Yarrowia lipolytica: one gene and its partners. The protein of the gene in region 2 purifies or fractionates together with the protein of the main gene of each other region. This does not show direct contact. Links are inferred from orthologs where the notes say so. Each region holds a gene or a part of one and is shown on either strand. Other genes may lie near its edges.

The links.
Region 1: the proteins of YALI1_A04119g (region 2) and YALI1_C29810g purify together in Saccharomyces cerevisiae (affinity purification with western blotting; 3 studies listed by BioGRID, with this or other methods). This does not show direct contact. The link is inferred for Yarrowia lipolytica from reciprocal best matches to the Saccharomyces cerevisiae genes RPF2 and RPL3.
Region 3: the proteins of YALI1_A04119g (region 2) and YALI1_D13126g purify together in Saccharomyces cerevisiae (affinity purification with mass spectrometry, with the first as the bait; 3 studies listed by BioGRID). This does not show direct contact. The link is inferred for Yarrowia lipolytica from reciprocal best matches to the Saccharomyces cerevisiae genes RPF2 and NOC3.
Region 4: the proteins of YALI1_A04119g (region 2) and YALI1_C17995g purify together in Saccharomyces cerevisiae (affinity purification with mass spectrometry; 3 studies listed by BioGRID). This does not show direct contact. The link is inferred for Yarrowia lipolytica from reciprocal best matches to the Saccharomyces cerevisiae genes RPF2 and RRP15.

Annotation. Positions count from the first base shown.
Region 1 is NC_090772.1:2,979,357-2,982,848, reverse strand, and holds YALI1_C29810g (60S ribosomal protein uL3), read right to left. Parts: upstream 1,779-3,492; coding exon 615-1,778; downstream 1-614. UniProt on the Saccharomyces cerevisiae protein: Component of the ribosome, a large ribonucleoprotein complex responsible for the synthesis of proteins in the cell.
Region 2 is NC_090770.1:410,104-413,412, forward strand, and holds YALI1_A04119g (uncharacterized protein), read left to right. Parts: upstream 1-1,820; coding exon 1,821-2,786; downstream 2,787-3,309. Other genes in the region: YALI1_A04109g (uncharacterized protein), read right to left, coding at 1-878. UniProt on the Saccharomyces cerevisiae protein: Required for biogenesis of the 60S ribosomal subunit.
Region 3 is NC_090773.1:1,310,741-1,315,228, reverse strand, and holds YALI1_D13126g (uncharacterized protein), read right to left. Parts: upstream 2,586-4,488; coding exon 528-2,585; downstream 1-527. Other genes in the region: YALI1_D13124g (uncharacterized protein), read left to right, coding at 2,762-3,559; YALI1_D13108g (uncharacterized protein), read right to left, coding at 3,731-4,420. UniProt on the Saccharomyces cerevisiae protein: Required for synthesis of 60S ribosomal subunits and the transport of pre-ribosomes from the nucleoplasm to the cytoplasm. Also required for initiation of DNA replication.
Region 4 is NC_090772.1:1,797,674-1,800,837, reverse strand, and holds YALI1_C17995g (uncharacterized protein), read right to left. Parts: upstream 1,310-3,164; coding exon 569-1,309; downstream 1-568. Other genes in the region: YALI1_C17988g (uncharacterized protein), read left to right, coding at 1,994-3,164. UniProt on the Saccharomyces cerevisiae protein: Constituent of pre-60S ribosomal particles. Required for large subunit rRNA maturation, in particular processing of the 27S pre-rRNA at the A3 and B1 sites to yield 5.8S and 25S rRNA.

The DNA of each region.
Region 1 (3,492 bases), on a different chromosome or scaffold from region 2:
GTCTGCCTTTCCCCTTGACCATGTCATCTCACGACCTGGACTCGGACCGTTCGGAGACTTCTGCTACACTCTCGGTTAATAGAAGGAGCTCTTTCAATGGAATGAACCTGTAATGTTCCTGTTAGTACTGTCTCCTTGTCTGCGGAGAGTCTGCGACAATCTCACCTTGCTCAGTAAGCACTTCAAATCATCTGACGGCACATCTGTCGGCACATCTGTCGGCACACCTGTCTCACACCAGGCCAATGATGGGAAGCAATTCGTTCCAGAAACAGAAGTACAACCATGTATCATGCATTTGCGAGAGTGCAATCTGCAACCATACTCGTCTGCATTGTTGCTCCATCTTATGCCTTCACTGTTTCCCTTCATATGAATGTTGTCAGTTGGGCTCGCTCATAGTCATGATCGATCTCCCTCTACGCGTCTTCGAATCAAGTTAGTGTAAGGAAAGTAACTATCTTACAGTTAGTCAAACGACAATCTACTTACAGTATACAGCGCTAGGACTACAAGTACTACAAGTACTTTTGCACTCAGTTGCAGGTACTCTACACACTCGGTTATTGCTATTGTGCATTTTAATTTTTTAAATTTCCAACAAGAGAAACCGCTTAAAGGTCCTTCTTGAGAGTGCCCATGAAAGCAGTCTTCTCGGCAGGGGTCTGGAATCGGCCCTTTCCGAACTTGGAGGCAGTGTCGATCCACTTGAGCTGGGTCTTCTCGAGGTCTCGTCGAGAGGTGTGCAGCCACATGGACTTTCGCAGAGTGATGACTCGCTTCTTGACACCGGGGATGGAACCCTTGAGGATGAGGAAGTCGTTGTTGACCTCACCGTATCGGACGAAACCACCCATGGGGGTGATGGTCTTGGGGGTTCGGTCGAACTCGGTGGAGCCGTTGGACTCGTCACCGCCCTTGCCAACTCGGTAAACCTTGTGGTTGGCGGAGGTTCGGTGGTGGTAACCGTCCTGACCGGATCGAGCCACGGTGTACTGGACGTTGGCAGGGTGCCAGGCACCAATACAGGCGACCTTTCGCAGACCTCGGTGGGTCTTTCGGGGCAGCTTCTTGGTTCCCCATCGGTGGGTGGTACCCTCGTATCCCTTACCCTTGGTGATGGCAATGGCGTCAATCATCTCGTCCTGCTCGAAAACAGTGTCGATGGTGACGGTCTTCTCAAAGTGCTGCTGGGCCCACTCGACCTTGTCGGCAACGGAGCCACCGTTGATCTGGATCTCAGCAAGGTGAGCCTTCTTCTGCTTAAGAGGAGTCAGCTTGGGCTGGGTGTGAGCAAGAACTCGCACAACGGTGCAGTACTTCTTGATTCGCTCGAGCTCCTTCTGGACCTGGGCGGCGTCACCCTCGTACTGCTTAGCGTACTTGGTGAAGGCAGTCTTCTTGGACTTGTACCAGTTCTTGTAGAATCGTCGTCGGACCTCCTCGGACAGGTGCTCGGCCCAGACGGTGGTCAGGGATCGAAGACCTCGGGGAGTGGCAACGTAACCAACAACACCGACAACAACCATGGGGGGAGTGTCAACGACGGTGGCAGCCTCGACAATCTCTCGCTTGTCCATCTTGGAGCCTCGTCGGTCGAGGTCTCGGACAATGGTGGTCATACCGGCCTTGTAACCAAGGAAGGCGGTCAGAGCAACAGGCTTGGACTTGTCATCCTTGGGGAAAGACTTGGCCTTTCCTCGAGACTTGGTGCATCGCTTTCGGGGGAGGAAACCCAGGTGACCGTGTCGGGGCTGTTCGTACTTTCGGTGGGACATTTTGAGATAGTGAGGAACGAAAGATGTGTGCAGAGTTTTTGACCGGTGGAAATCTACTGCAAAATTTAGAGTTCGAGACCAGCGTGTGACTGTTTTTACCGATTGGGATGTGTCATGTGATCAAAGCTAAAATGGGGACTGACTAGTTGGGTGACTCAAACAGGAGCAATAGTTATGCTGAGACGGTGAAAGTTAGAGGAATATTTTATGACCACAGGATGAAGCTACTGTAAAAATAACTAGCAATTTTGGATAATATTCAGCAAGTTTCAGTGAGGGTGTGAATAGATCTCCAATTTGGGTTGAATTTAAGGTTATTATTTATGTAGTCCAGTTGGGAGTTCGATTTACGACAGATTTTCGCAATATTAATAAGGAAAAATTCATGGAAAATCAGCAAGAATGAAAACGGGCCCGAAACAGCATATATTTTGAAAAACCGGATAAAAATAACAGAACGGTTGCTGTTCCAAAGGACTTGCAGCTTGATAAACATCATTCAGCTGGCGTTTAAGTCTTCTTGATAGCACCCTCAGTTGTATGGCACTATAAACTTTTGGCTCTGGAATGGGGGCAATTTAATATCGATTTTGCAGCAATTATTAGGGAAAATACGGGAAAAAATACTCAGAGATACAGAGATATAATTATGAGAATTGTGGCTAAAAACAATCCCTAGAATTATGACAGAAATACAATGCATTTACATTGTCTGAAATTGCAGAGAAGGGCTCTTCTAAACCTCTCCTTACCTTAGTTGCCCATGTTCTGATTTTTTCCCCTGTTTTTCCGTATTTTTCATGTACAATTTTTTCATGCAATGCAACTTAGCTCACAACCAGTACATGACAAAAGTGAAGAACAATATACAAGTACAGGGAGGAGGATATCTCTTGCAAATCAGGAATAGCTGCATATACAGATCATTGCCCCTACAGAACATCTGTCAGCTACAATACTGCAAGTATCCTAGGGTTCTGAGTCTGAGTAGGAAGGGTCAAAAGTACATATTGTACTATAGAACTATAGCGTCGTTGATATTGATGAACATGTCGATCTACCGACTCGTACCAGAAAACTTGCTCCATATATCTCTGTGTACAAGTACAAGTACAGTACATAGCATTATCTCCGTGGTGTATCCTAACACCAAGTGTTGACAAACTGCCTGCCGTCTCCGACTTCAGTGTGTCCTCACTGATCTTTAACAGAATCCTCTAGCTGTAAGTTGCAGATGTCGTTCTGATATCATGGTCCAATCTTCCACAAAAATCGTGTAGGAGAAGTGACGAGAGTCTTGTGAAATAGGACTATGAGCTCGTTTCTGCAATTCAAGTTGTTGGCGTCATTATTCACATCCTGATCGGACTCTCTGGGCCGGCTTCCTTCAACTAAACACTAAGTATTTCGAGTGGAAGAAAATTTTCAAAAATTGGGATATCAGAGGAAATGTCAGATTTTATGGAGTTTTTTTGTATTCCGTACTGAAATGACCATCAAGTACTACAACTTGGCGAACTTCCCATCTCTCCACCATCACTGAAGGACTGATGTTGAACAGCTAGTTGTCATTTATCTTAACAGAAGTCCAACTAATGTTTGTCTTGACTAAGGACAGACTCAAGCGGGTGTCAGGAAGGAGAGAGACGGTCTTATAAAGTCATAATCGTTGATTTTACGGATTGGTGAATGTGTACAAGTAATATTGATGTTG
Region 2 (3,309 bases):
AGGTCCTTGTCTGCCAAAATGGTGGCATCTCCACCCTCTGTCACCTCCCACACTCCAAGATGGCACTCCGAGGTGGCTACGTAGATGCGCCAGCTGCGGTTCGTAGAGGGAACCACTCGGACTCCAGTGATTCCACGTCTGTTGGAAGACACGGAAAAGGCGGATCGAATGTTGCTCAACAGGCCGGCCTTTGTGTCTCGCAGAGTCCAGTAGTTGAGAGCAGCCTCGTCCTTATCTCGAAGAGAGAGGCCAATGAGACGGCCCGAGGACAGAGACAGCACCAGCGTGACATCGTCCATGCGGTTCACGTGCTCAATCACCTCACCACTGTATAGCTTAATCTGGGTCTCCACCTGCTGTCGTGTTCGCAGGTACCCTTCAGCAGCTGCACCTCCCACTGACTCCCAGAAGACACACAAACCAGAATTGACACCCACTAGCACCAGACCGGGATGTCCAACGTCCTTGAAACTCGGCGTCACGGGGATCAGGTGACCCAGAGCATTATCCTGGACTCCCAGACTATGTGTAAAGGTCTCTGGGGTCGGCTCAGGAGATGTGTACTTCCACACATGTGCCTTGTTCCCCACAACCACCAGCCCAAAGTCGTCAGATAGCGATGAGCTCACATGCTCACCGGAATCAAAAGCAATCTCCACTCCTGATAGATCGGGTCTTGCTGCCAATCGCGTCACATTGTACATGGCCGTGCGGGTGATTTCGGAGCCATAATCCGCCAGACTGTCCTCCACAGCCGACAGGTTGGTGAACGACTTTTCCGTCACATCGTCGTTGAAGAGCGTCGCAGGCACAACTCGGTTGAGTTCTTGCTGCACCGCTTTTTGCCGCAGCTTTCGAATATTGCCAATTTGCGACATGGATGGATGTGTCTGTGTTTGTGTTTGGATCTTTTTGTGCAACTCTCAATTGCCTGCATTAGGGTTAGGGTCTACCAGGAGGTGGATTATGTTGTGGAATGATGGTTGTCGTAATTGCACAAAGAACCAACTACAATGGACTTTTAAACCCTTGATAGTGCCGTCACGGCGACTCCTGTTATTGTTTTGTGTCTTTGGACGCTCTATTGTCTCGTTCTTCTTGCAAATACTACCCTAAGTAAAATACCAACTAATACGAGGTTCACAACAAAGGATTAACAAAATTGACACAACCTACGGGCCAACTAATAGTCAAGTAGGCCCTCAACAACATTCTCGCTCTTTCTGAAACCAACAACATCAACTGGGAACCAGGAAAGTAAAGATATAGCTATATATCAGTTATTAACTCGTCAATTAATACGACCAGATTGGATTATACATTTTACTATCGTATGTGATTGTAACATCACCATCATTCTTAACAAAATCCTCAACCCTTTTCAATCAAGTTGGTGGTTGATAGAAACTAAAGCTGTAATAGATACTATACCCAACTCATACCTTCATCTCATATACATATGCTCGCTACAAATTATTTCTCCCAATCCTCTTGTTTGCCACTCACAATAGTGGCGATGATTAGTAAACTGATCTCAGTAGGTTTTCAATAGTAAGACACCCAAAAGTAGCCATTGACGTACGAAAAGTGTGCGTGTTTTTTTGAAAATTAGGTGTCACATGACCATAATAATCACTTTTCATATCACGTGACCAAATCATCTCGCACAGTCGTCCAAACACCTCCGTCTACTGACATTTCTACTACTCCATCTTATCAGGGTAAGGGCAACCGTAACTGTAAAAAATTTATGCAGGCGGTGAAATTTTCGCCTACGCAGACATTACACCGAACCACAGTTACAGGTACAGCAAGAAAATATGTTGCGACAAGTGAAACCGAAAAACGCTCGGGCCAAGCGAGCCGTCGATGCCAAGGAGCCCAAGATTGTCGAGAACACAAAGCAGGCGCTGTTTGTGCCCGGCCAGACCTCCAACCAGCTTCTTCACGATGCCATGGTGGATCTTTGTGCTCTCAAGCTGCCCGATGGCAAGCGATTCAACAAGAAGAACGAAATCAACCCCTTTGAGGATGTGTCCTCGTTGGAATTCTTCTCGGAAAAAAACGACACATCTCTGCTGGTCTTTTCGTCGTCTAACAAGAAGCGACCCAACAACCTGACCTGGATCCGAACGTTTGGATACCAGCTCTTCGACATGATCGAGCTGCAGATTGTCAACCACCGACTGTTACGAGATTTCAAGGCCCAGACTGTGGGTGTGGGTCTCAAGCCCATGTTTACCTTCAACGGTACCGGCTTTGAAACCGACCCTGTTCTGATGCATGTCAAGTCTCTGTTTCTGGACTTCTTCCGAGGCGATACCACCGATCTGCAGGATGCTGCCGGTCTGCAATATATCATTTCAATCTCTGCCGGCGAGGTGCAGGAAGACAAGCCTCTGCCTCTGATCAACTTCCGAGTTTACAAGATCCGATCTTTCCGATCTGGCCAGAAGCTTCCTCGAATCGAGCTGCAAGAAATCGGCCCCCGATTCGACTTCAAGATTGGCCGACGACAGGCTGCTGCTCCTGACGTGGAGAAGGAGGCTCTGCGAGTGCCTGAGCAGCTGCGACAGAAGACCAAGAAGAACGTGGAGGTGGACAACATGGGTGACAAGATTGGCCGAGTCCACGTGGGTAAGCAGGATCTGGGCAAGCTGCAGACCCGTAAGATGAAGGGTCTCAAGAAGAAGTACGACCAGGTCGAGGACGACGAGGAAGCCGATGACGAGGTGGTCACCACCAAGAAGGCCCGAGTGGAAGAGGAGGAGTATTTTAATGAGTAATTGATAGAATGCATTTTAATGATAACCGTTTGTGTAGCCACGTGAACAAACTCCAAATTTTTTCATCAAACAAAAGAGATTGCGTATTCCGTTCGATTCATCAAGGGTAGATATCTATTTAATTTTTAGTATTAGTATTATATTAGATTGTTTCGTATGTCACGATACCAGAAAACATTCTGAAACTGTCTTCCATGTGGTTTTTATCGAACTGATGTCAAAAGGAGAAAAAACGACCAGTAGAGTCGTCTTCCAACCAACCACGGCGTCAATAAAAAGTGATTTATAGATGGATATGTATCTTTTTAAATGAATTGAGATGTTCTCAGACAAGTATAAATACACGGCAAGTGCAGTATTACCTGAACATAATTACAAAAGATCAAGCGTCTACAACTACAAACTCTCTACGACTCAAATATTCGGGTGGGACTCTTTGGTCCATGATTTATTACCCAAGAGGTTCGGATTTTCACCTACTCCTCTCAAACTAGATAAACAGGTTCGGTCAGTTACGTCCTCC
Region 3 (4,488 bases), on a different chromosome or scaffold from region 2:
ACGGAGGTGTTCTGCATTTGAATAGCATAATCGAGGTACTGACGCAGATCGACCGACGTTTGTTATACGAACCTACTAATGTCAAGAGAGAGCTCTGAACTCAGCTACCACAGTACAGAAGATATTACAACTACTTTCATTCCTGTGTACTCACTACAGTTGTTTGAGAGTTCTCAAAACATCTGAAAGCATCCTGACCTGCATTTCCCATAGACTATGTCCATCGGAAAGGTGGGGGTCTCTCTCTATGACCCCTTTCCACGTCTTATCGTATGTTGTGTTATGTCTGAATGAATACATAGTTACTGGATCCTCATTTTCCATAATGGATACTATTGATTGCGTCATTGTCAGATACGGCATAATCAAACGCAGGTGCAGTTGCTGAGTAACTGTAGCTCCTATAGAGCTTTGCCTATACATTCAGATGAATCGTATGGTAGATTTACTCATCTATAACACACTGTTTACACTCAGTCACTCACTAGCTATTCCTGTTGTCCAAATATACATTTCTATAATCCTCTCTAATGCTTGTTCTTCTTGACGTTTCGGGGCACCAGTTTGGCGGCCTTGGCAATGTCTGGCGAGAAGTGTTTCTCCAGCAACACTGTCTCCCAGATGGTAGATGCTTCGGGGTTGGCATGGTCGGGTTGGTCCACGTCCATTCGGTACACTCCGTTGGTGATTCGGTCGTCGGACGAGTACAGAGCGGTCATAACGGTGAACTTCTTATTGAGCCGGTCGAGAATCTTGAGACCGGCCATGCACGACTTTTCGGGTAGCTGGAGACAGATGGTAGCCAGTCTCTTCGCAAAAGCCTGGACTCGCAGCCGAGACACGTGCTTCTGCTGCAAGAAAATACCCTCGAACGACCTCACCACCATCTCCATCTCTGTGGCCACGTTGATTTTGGACCGCTTATTGCTGGCGGACTCGTTGGTGTTGGGATCATCAAGACGAAGAGACTTGTGTGACAGCTCAATGTCGGGGTTGAGACCCAGAGCGTAGAGTGACGAGTAGAAGTGGTTGATGAAGAAGGTCAGATCGAGGTTCATGGACTCGCCCACCTGGCCTCCAAGCAGCACGAATGCAGTGACAATACACAGAAGAGCCTCTCGGGTAGAGGTTTCCAAGAACTCTTGCTTTCCGTCGTCGGTGTATCGGATTTGACGCTCGGTGATGAGCTCCCGTAGCACCTCCAGCAGATCGCCAAAGAAGTCGGCGTTGATGAGATGCGAAAATTTGGCCAGACCCTCCAGAGTGGCTGCCATGAGATGCTGTGGTCGTTCCTTGAGAATGTTAAAGTACAGAACAAAGACGATTTTGAGCGTCTCTCCCTGGATCTTCTCTCGCTCCTCGGTCGATACCGCCATCTCTGCCTTTAGCATCTCCTCGTCGATCTCCTTCTTCTCCTTGAGCGTTTTTCGCTGCTTCTTGGTCAGGTGCACTCGGTCCTTCTTTCGCACCTTGGCTGTCGGTGCTTGTTGAGACTCCACGTGTCTCTGGGAAGCTCTGGCGTCGAGCTCTGTCAGCAACCGCAGTTTAAGCAGTGAGTTGAGCAACGACTCGTCAATTCTATACTTCTTTGCACGGATCATCTTGGACAAGGACATGACAATCTCCTTCACAGCAGAACCCTCGAAGTCGTCCTCAAACAGAGACTCGATGGTGGACAACGCCTTGAAGTAGTTGGCGTCGTAGGGCTTCTGTCCCACACGGTTCACCACAATCGCCACGAGGTCAGATCTGAAGTTGAAGTACGCAGACGTCTTGAGAAGTTCGCAGGCTGCCACCACGCACGAGTCTCCCAAAATTCGTTTCATGGTGCCTTCAGTGGAGCCTCGGGCCTTCTTGGAAAACTTGCTAATGTAGTCTAGATACGCCTTGTAGTTCTGCAGCAGCGACGTCTCGAAGTTTCGTAGTCTCTTGACCTCCTTAGACACCTTTTCTCGCTTTTCGGCCTCGGTTAAGGGTCTGATTTTGTAACCAGGAATGATCGACTGGAAAATAGGAACCAGCGACAGAATCGTCAGTTGTACCACCCGGAATGACTGCTTTCGACCCATGAGCTCCCGAATCTTGCGCAGACAGTGAATGTTCTCCTCGGCGTCCTCGTTGAGCTGGTCGGCCAGTTCTGCAATCTCGGCCTGGGCCTTTCGAAATCGGGCCTCTCCAGTGACCTCGTCTTCCTCCTCGAAATCAGAATCGCCAATGTCGTCCTCCTCTTCCTTCTCGGCGGCCTCCTTGGCTGCCTGTTCTGCTGCTGCTGCCTCTGCTGCCTCTCGAGCTGCCTCCTCCTCTTCCTCCTGTCGCTGTCTCTCAGCTTGCTCCTCCAGCTTTCGCTTGCTGATTTTGTCGCCCTTCTTGCGCATCACCCGCTTGATCTGGCCGTCTTCGCCTCGCACAGGCAGCATTTCACCGAGAGATTCTTCCTCCTTGAAAGATCGAGGTCCATAGTCCTCATCCTCCTCGTTGTCAGAGTCTTTGATGTACTGCCATGATTGCGCAAGCTTGCTGTCCTGCTCCTGCCGAGCCTTGGCCCGCTTTTCAAACTTGGCCACGTCTCGCGATCGTTTCACCATTGTGTGTTTGTGTGTCTGTGTATGGCGTTGTTATATCACCAATATCCTCGTAGCAGCATGTCTGTAAATTTCTTGAATAAGGTTTGTCGTCAGAAAAATAATTTCATGCAGTGCAAGTTTATTCCAGCATCACTGTAGTTCCAAGATACTTCAGATATACTCATCACCATACACAAATGCCCCGAAAACGACCGAGAAACGTGCTCAAACGAGAGGTGGTACCGCTGGACCAGGACCCCGAGGACTTCTCTAACCGAAAGAAGAGCAAGTTCACCAAGAAGAAGGGGAAGTTCGCCAAGGACAACTACAACGACAGTCACGATGACGATACCCCCAAGAGCTTCAAGCGAATGATGGCCCGCCAGGAGCGAACTGCCCAGAGCCAGGAGGAGGAGAGGGGCCGAAAGAAGCAAAAGAAGGAACTGTACCCTACCAACAAACACATTTCGCATGAGAACTCCGAGCTGCAAATGAAACCCGGTGAGTCGTGGGCGGACTTCTCTCGAAGAGTTGACGAAGCGCTGCCCAATGCGAAGCCCCGCAAGTCGGAAAACGCCAAGGAGCTCACACGGCTTGACAAGAAGAACATTCAGAAGCAGAAGAACCGGGTTCTGCAGAACGAGATGGACTACAAGAAGGCCGATGAGGCTGCAGAGGAGGGAGACGGGATGGATGAGAAACGGCTCAAGAACGACCTGTTCTTCCCCAAGAAGCAGAGAGATAAGTCGCCCGATCCTTGGGCCGTGCTAGAAAAGAAGAACAAGAAGGCCAAGTTTGGAGAGGTGGCTGACGCTCCCCCTGTGCTGAATCTGCCTCGAAAGCTGCTTCCTAACGTCCCCAAGGCTTCCGGAGACAACGCCCGGCGTCTCATTCTCGAGGCCGAGCGACAAAAGGTTATTGACGAGTACCGAAAGATTTCTCGAAAGGATGATCCCACCTATAACGTGGACTTTTCCAACGCCACTGTGGAGTGACCTAACTAGATAATAGATTGCATACAATACGGAATGTAATTCTTGTACGGTAGTAGTGCTACAATAATAATACAATAATAATACATTTTACCTATAAATACCAAGACACTGGAGGTACTGTGTCATAAATTGTTGTTTGATGAGTACTGTAGCCTCTTGGTGTACAGTCCACTACTGGTTAAACAACGGAACCTCTTCAACAACACCCTTTTCTGACTCCTTTCTCTGACGCCCGATAACAGCGTCCAACTCTCGGTTATCAAAGTCGTACTGGTTCCAGTCGATTGAAGGAACCATGGTGACATAGAGAGCCTTGGGGAAAGACACTTGTCCGCTCTTGACCTTTTCCAAAAACTGCTCGGGTTGCTCCACCGCCTGCTGTCTCATTTGCGACAGTTTGACCAAGTCTCTTTTGCTCGTCTCTTGCTGTCTCGTAAGCATGGACAGCGCAGAAGTCAGAGCAATGTAGTCTGTGTTTTCGGCCAGTTCCGAAGATTGAGACACCTCGGGTGAGTTGAGAGCTTCCTGTGGAGTGTCTTCTTCTTTGACGTTCACTTGTGGAGACTTCTCCACCTCCTCGGATTTCTCCTTCTCTTCAACCTGTTCTTCCGTCTCATCTCCCTCATGTTGCTCCACCTTCATCACCTCCTCGGATTTGGATTTATCCTTGCCGGACGTTTTTTTCTTGCTGGAGGGCTTTTCCACCTTGGAGCGCGGCTTCACCATATTTGTGTTGCGTTGACTGTCCGCCACAGAGCCAGGTTGAGGCACTATGGGATGCATGGCCGAGATGAAATTCGAGGGTGTAATTAAGACGGAGTGATGAACCTTATTTTTGCGACTGGAAAATGGCATCGTCATCAGGACTCATATCTACAGGTAACGGTTGCTGATGGAATGAGATTTTACGGGTATTAGAGAGTTGACGT
Region 4 (3,164 bases), on a different chromosome or scaffold from region 2:
AGCATTTAAACTTTGCACGTCGTGTGGTCCCAACGGCGCTGAGTAAGCGGAAGAGAACGATTGCTCCGAGTGATATAACAGGATTACTTGGCTTTAGTTGACGAATTGATGGGATGCTGAGATCAGGACAAGTCGTCCGAAGTCGCCCAAAACAGGAGATGAAGAGATGGTAGCGACATTTTAGTATCATAGAGGAGGTATATCTGTTTGGGGGGTTCTGGTCCACTAACCAAGGGAGATGGAATGGGATAAGAAGCTGTACTGCTTGTACACACTGTACTTACATAGTAGACCTCCTCTCATGAGTTCTGTTCAAAGATAGTGTCGATTAAATCATCGTCATCAGATTTCAGCCACTAACTTGATTCACTGTTGGTACTGCACTTTCACTCCCATCCTGGTGATATCCTCTTCTCAATGTCTCTCTTCTCAATGTCTCTCTTGCCATGTACCATCTAAACGGCTACCCAATGGGTTTTACTCTCATACCTATCTACGCTCTTCCCGTCGCCGCCTACACCTCCAATTGAAATAATCCAACCCATTAACTATATCTATATCGGGGCATTCAGCCCTCCCGGACGGCGTCCAAAAAGCTTTCCTTGGACATCTGCGAGGCCATTTCTTCTCGCTTTTTGGCTCCCAGAATGCTGGTTTCGTCCATCGACTTGGCTCCAGTCTGGGCAGCCAGAATGGCGTTGAACATTCGAATGGCTCCTCTCTGGGCCACCTTTTTCAATTTCTTTTCGTTAGCGAGAATCTCCTTAGCCTTTTCGGGCTCGTCGAGAGGCACCAGCGTCTTGACTCGGTCCTTCTCTGCGGCCTTTCGCTTCTCCAGCTTGATGAGCCGTCGGGCCTTGGCCTCCAGCTTCTGGTCTTCCAGCTCCTTGGCCGACTTTGTGGATCGAATCAGAATGGGGTTCTCCTTGGCGTGCGCCTTGATGGACGAGCCCAAAATGGCAGAGAAGGCCTTGCCGAACGCCTCATCCTTTTTTGCCTTCTTGGCCTTGTGTAGTGCACTAGCGTCCATCTCCTCGTCCTCAGACTCGTCCTCGTCAATGTCAAACTCGTCCTCCATCATCGAGTCATCCTCCGAATCGTCCTCGGACTCCTCCTCCTCCTCCGAATCAACCCCCTCATCCTCCTCTCCATCTCCGCCTTCCAGGTCGTCGAGATCCTCGTCTTCCGACTCCTCTTCAGCGGCCTTCTGCTGCTTCGACACCTTCTGCTGCTTCGGCTTGGCAGCAGCGGCGTCCTGCTTCTCCACCTTAATGGTCACTTTGCCCTTGGCTCCTGATTTTTGACCCATGCTGTGTTTTTTCTTGTGAGTGCGTGCAAAAATATCGGTTTAGAATTTCACCTTTTCCTCTCCCAGGATTTTTTTTGGTGGTGTGCCTCAGATATGCACGGCAGAAAGCCAAACACAGGTTATGACGGTGATGTAAAAATGGATGGTAGAAGCAGATCATCGCGAAAAAAAGGTCATGTGTTTGCATCTGCGGTGATATTGGCTTCGGCCTCTCTCAGCAACAAAACATTGGTGCAATTACGACCATTGTAGCCCTCTCAAAACCAGCCATCTTTTGTTGAAGAATTTTACTTGAAAAGTCCAAGTAATGTAAACACACATATAGTTAGGGTTTTGGGTAATTTATGTGACCCGATTTTGGAGGGCCACCCACCGTAAAAAGAAAGCACTGTCGAAGACGACACACATCCAGCACGTCAAATACCCATCTGGAGAGAAAAATCATTATACCTACTTGCTCCTCTCGTCGGCGAGATTCAGTTGGTATAAAAACATCTCCGGATTTTCATCATTATCAAGCATTTTTCAATCACTCCTCTGCGTCAGGTTCGACTCCTCCCAACCTAGTCCTCCTGCGTTGCCGGGACAACCGCCCTCAAAACACTGAAAGCTTATATCAAAACATACACTATCACCGCTTAATTGAATTCCAAACATCTAAAGCTCCCCTGGACGATACGATACATGACACACAATATGGACAATGTGTTACAGCCTCACAAGGGGGCGAATTCCGGCATCCCCCGGTTTGTGGCCAAGTCGGCAAAGGTCAGCGAACACAAACCCCGCAGCGTCGCCAACAATGAGAACGTGCCTATAGGCTCCAAGCGACCTGCTCCTGGAGCTCTGCCGGTGCCCGTTTCCAGGTTACACAAAGACGACACTCTGTACGGACGCCGAACTGGCATTGGGGCTCCTTCGATGAACCCGTCTGTGCCGCCTACGCCTAGCCACACGGCTCCGGTTCAGATTCGCAACAAGATGGGAGGGGGTTCCAAGGGCAGTGGAGAGGACGACTCTTATGCCTCCACCATGGTCAAGGAGATGTGGGTTCGGCTAGGTGAGAAGGACAAGGAGCTGGAGCAGAAGCGACAAGAGTTTCAGGACAATGCCAACAAGCACATGCAGGTGTTGAACGATTTGAACCGAATGTGTTTTGAGAAGCAAAAGCTGGAGGACGAAAACGAGGCCCTGAGGAGGAAGGTGGACAGCTTGAGGCGTGAGAATGAGCACCAGCAACACGAGATCAACGAGGGCTCGGCGCGTATCAAGGAGCTGAGTGAAAACGCAGACAATCTCATGTCCTTGTGGGAGTCGTCAGTCAAGGATATGGATCGAGAGAAGGAGGACAAGGAGAGCCACGTCAAGGAGCTTGTGGACAAGCTGGAGGAGAAGGAGCGACGCGTTGAGGAACTGGAACGCCTGCTAGAGCAGATCCGTGTACAGATGGATGAAAAAACTGAGCTGTTGTCGACACTCCAGGCACAGTCTCAACAGAAAGTAGACGAGTTGAAACGCGAGATGGACACTCAGATCCAAAACATTCGCCGCGACGAAACGCAACTACGTGGCAAGTTTGAGGAGCAGCATAAACGGGCCATTGAAGAGCTCAATCGCCGCCATGACGAGTCCCGAAGCCACATGGAGGAGCGGTACGAGTCGTTTGAGCGCGAGTTGGAGGGCGTGTCCGAACAGCTAAAGAGCAAGGCGCAAAAGTGTGCTGTATACGAGCAAGAAAACGCGACGCTCAAGGGCCAAATTCACGAGTTGTCGATCTCGTCCAACCAAGCCTCTTCTCTCACATCCGTGTTGCAGTCTCAAATCGACAAGCTCCAGCATCAGAATGAGAGTCAGT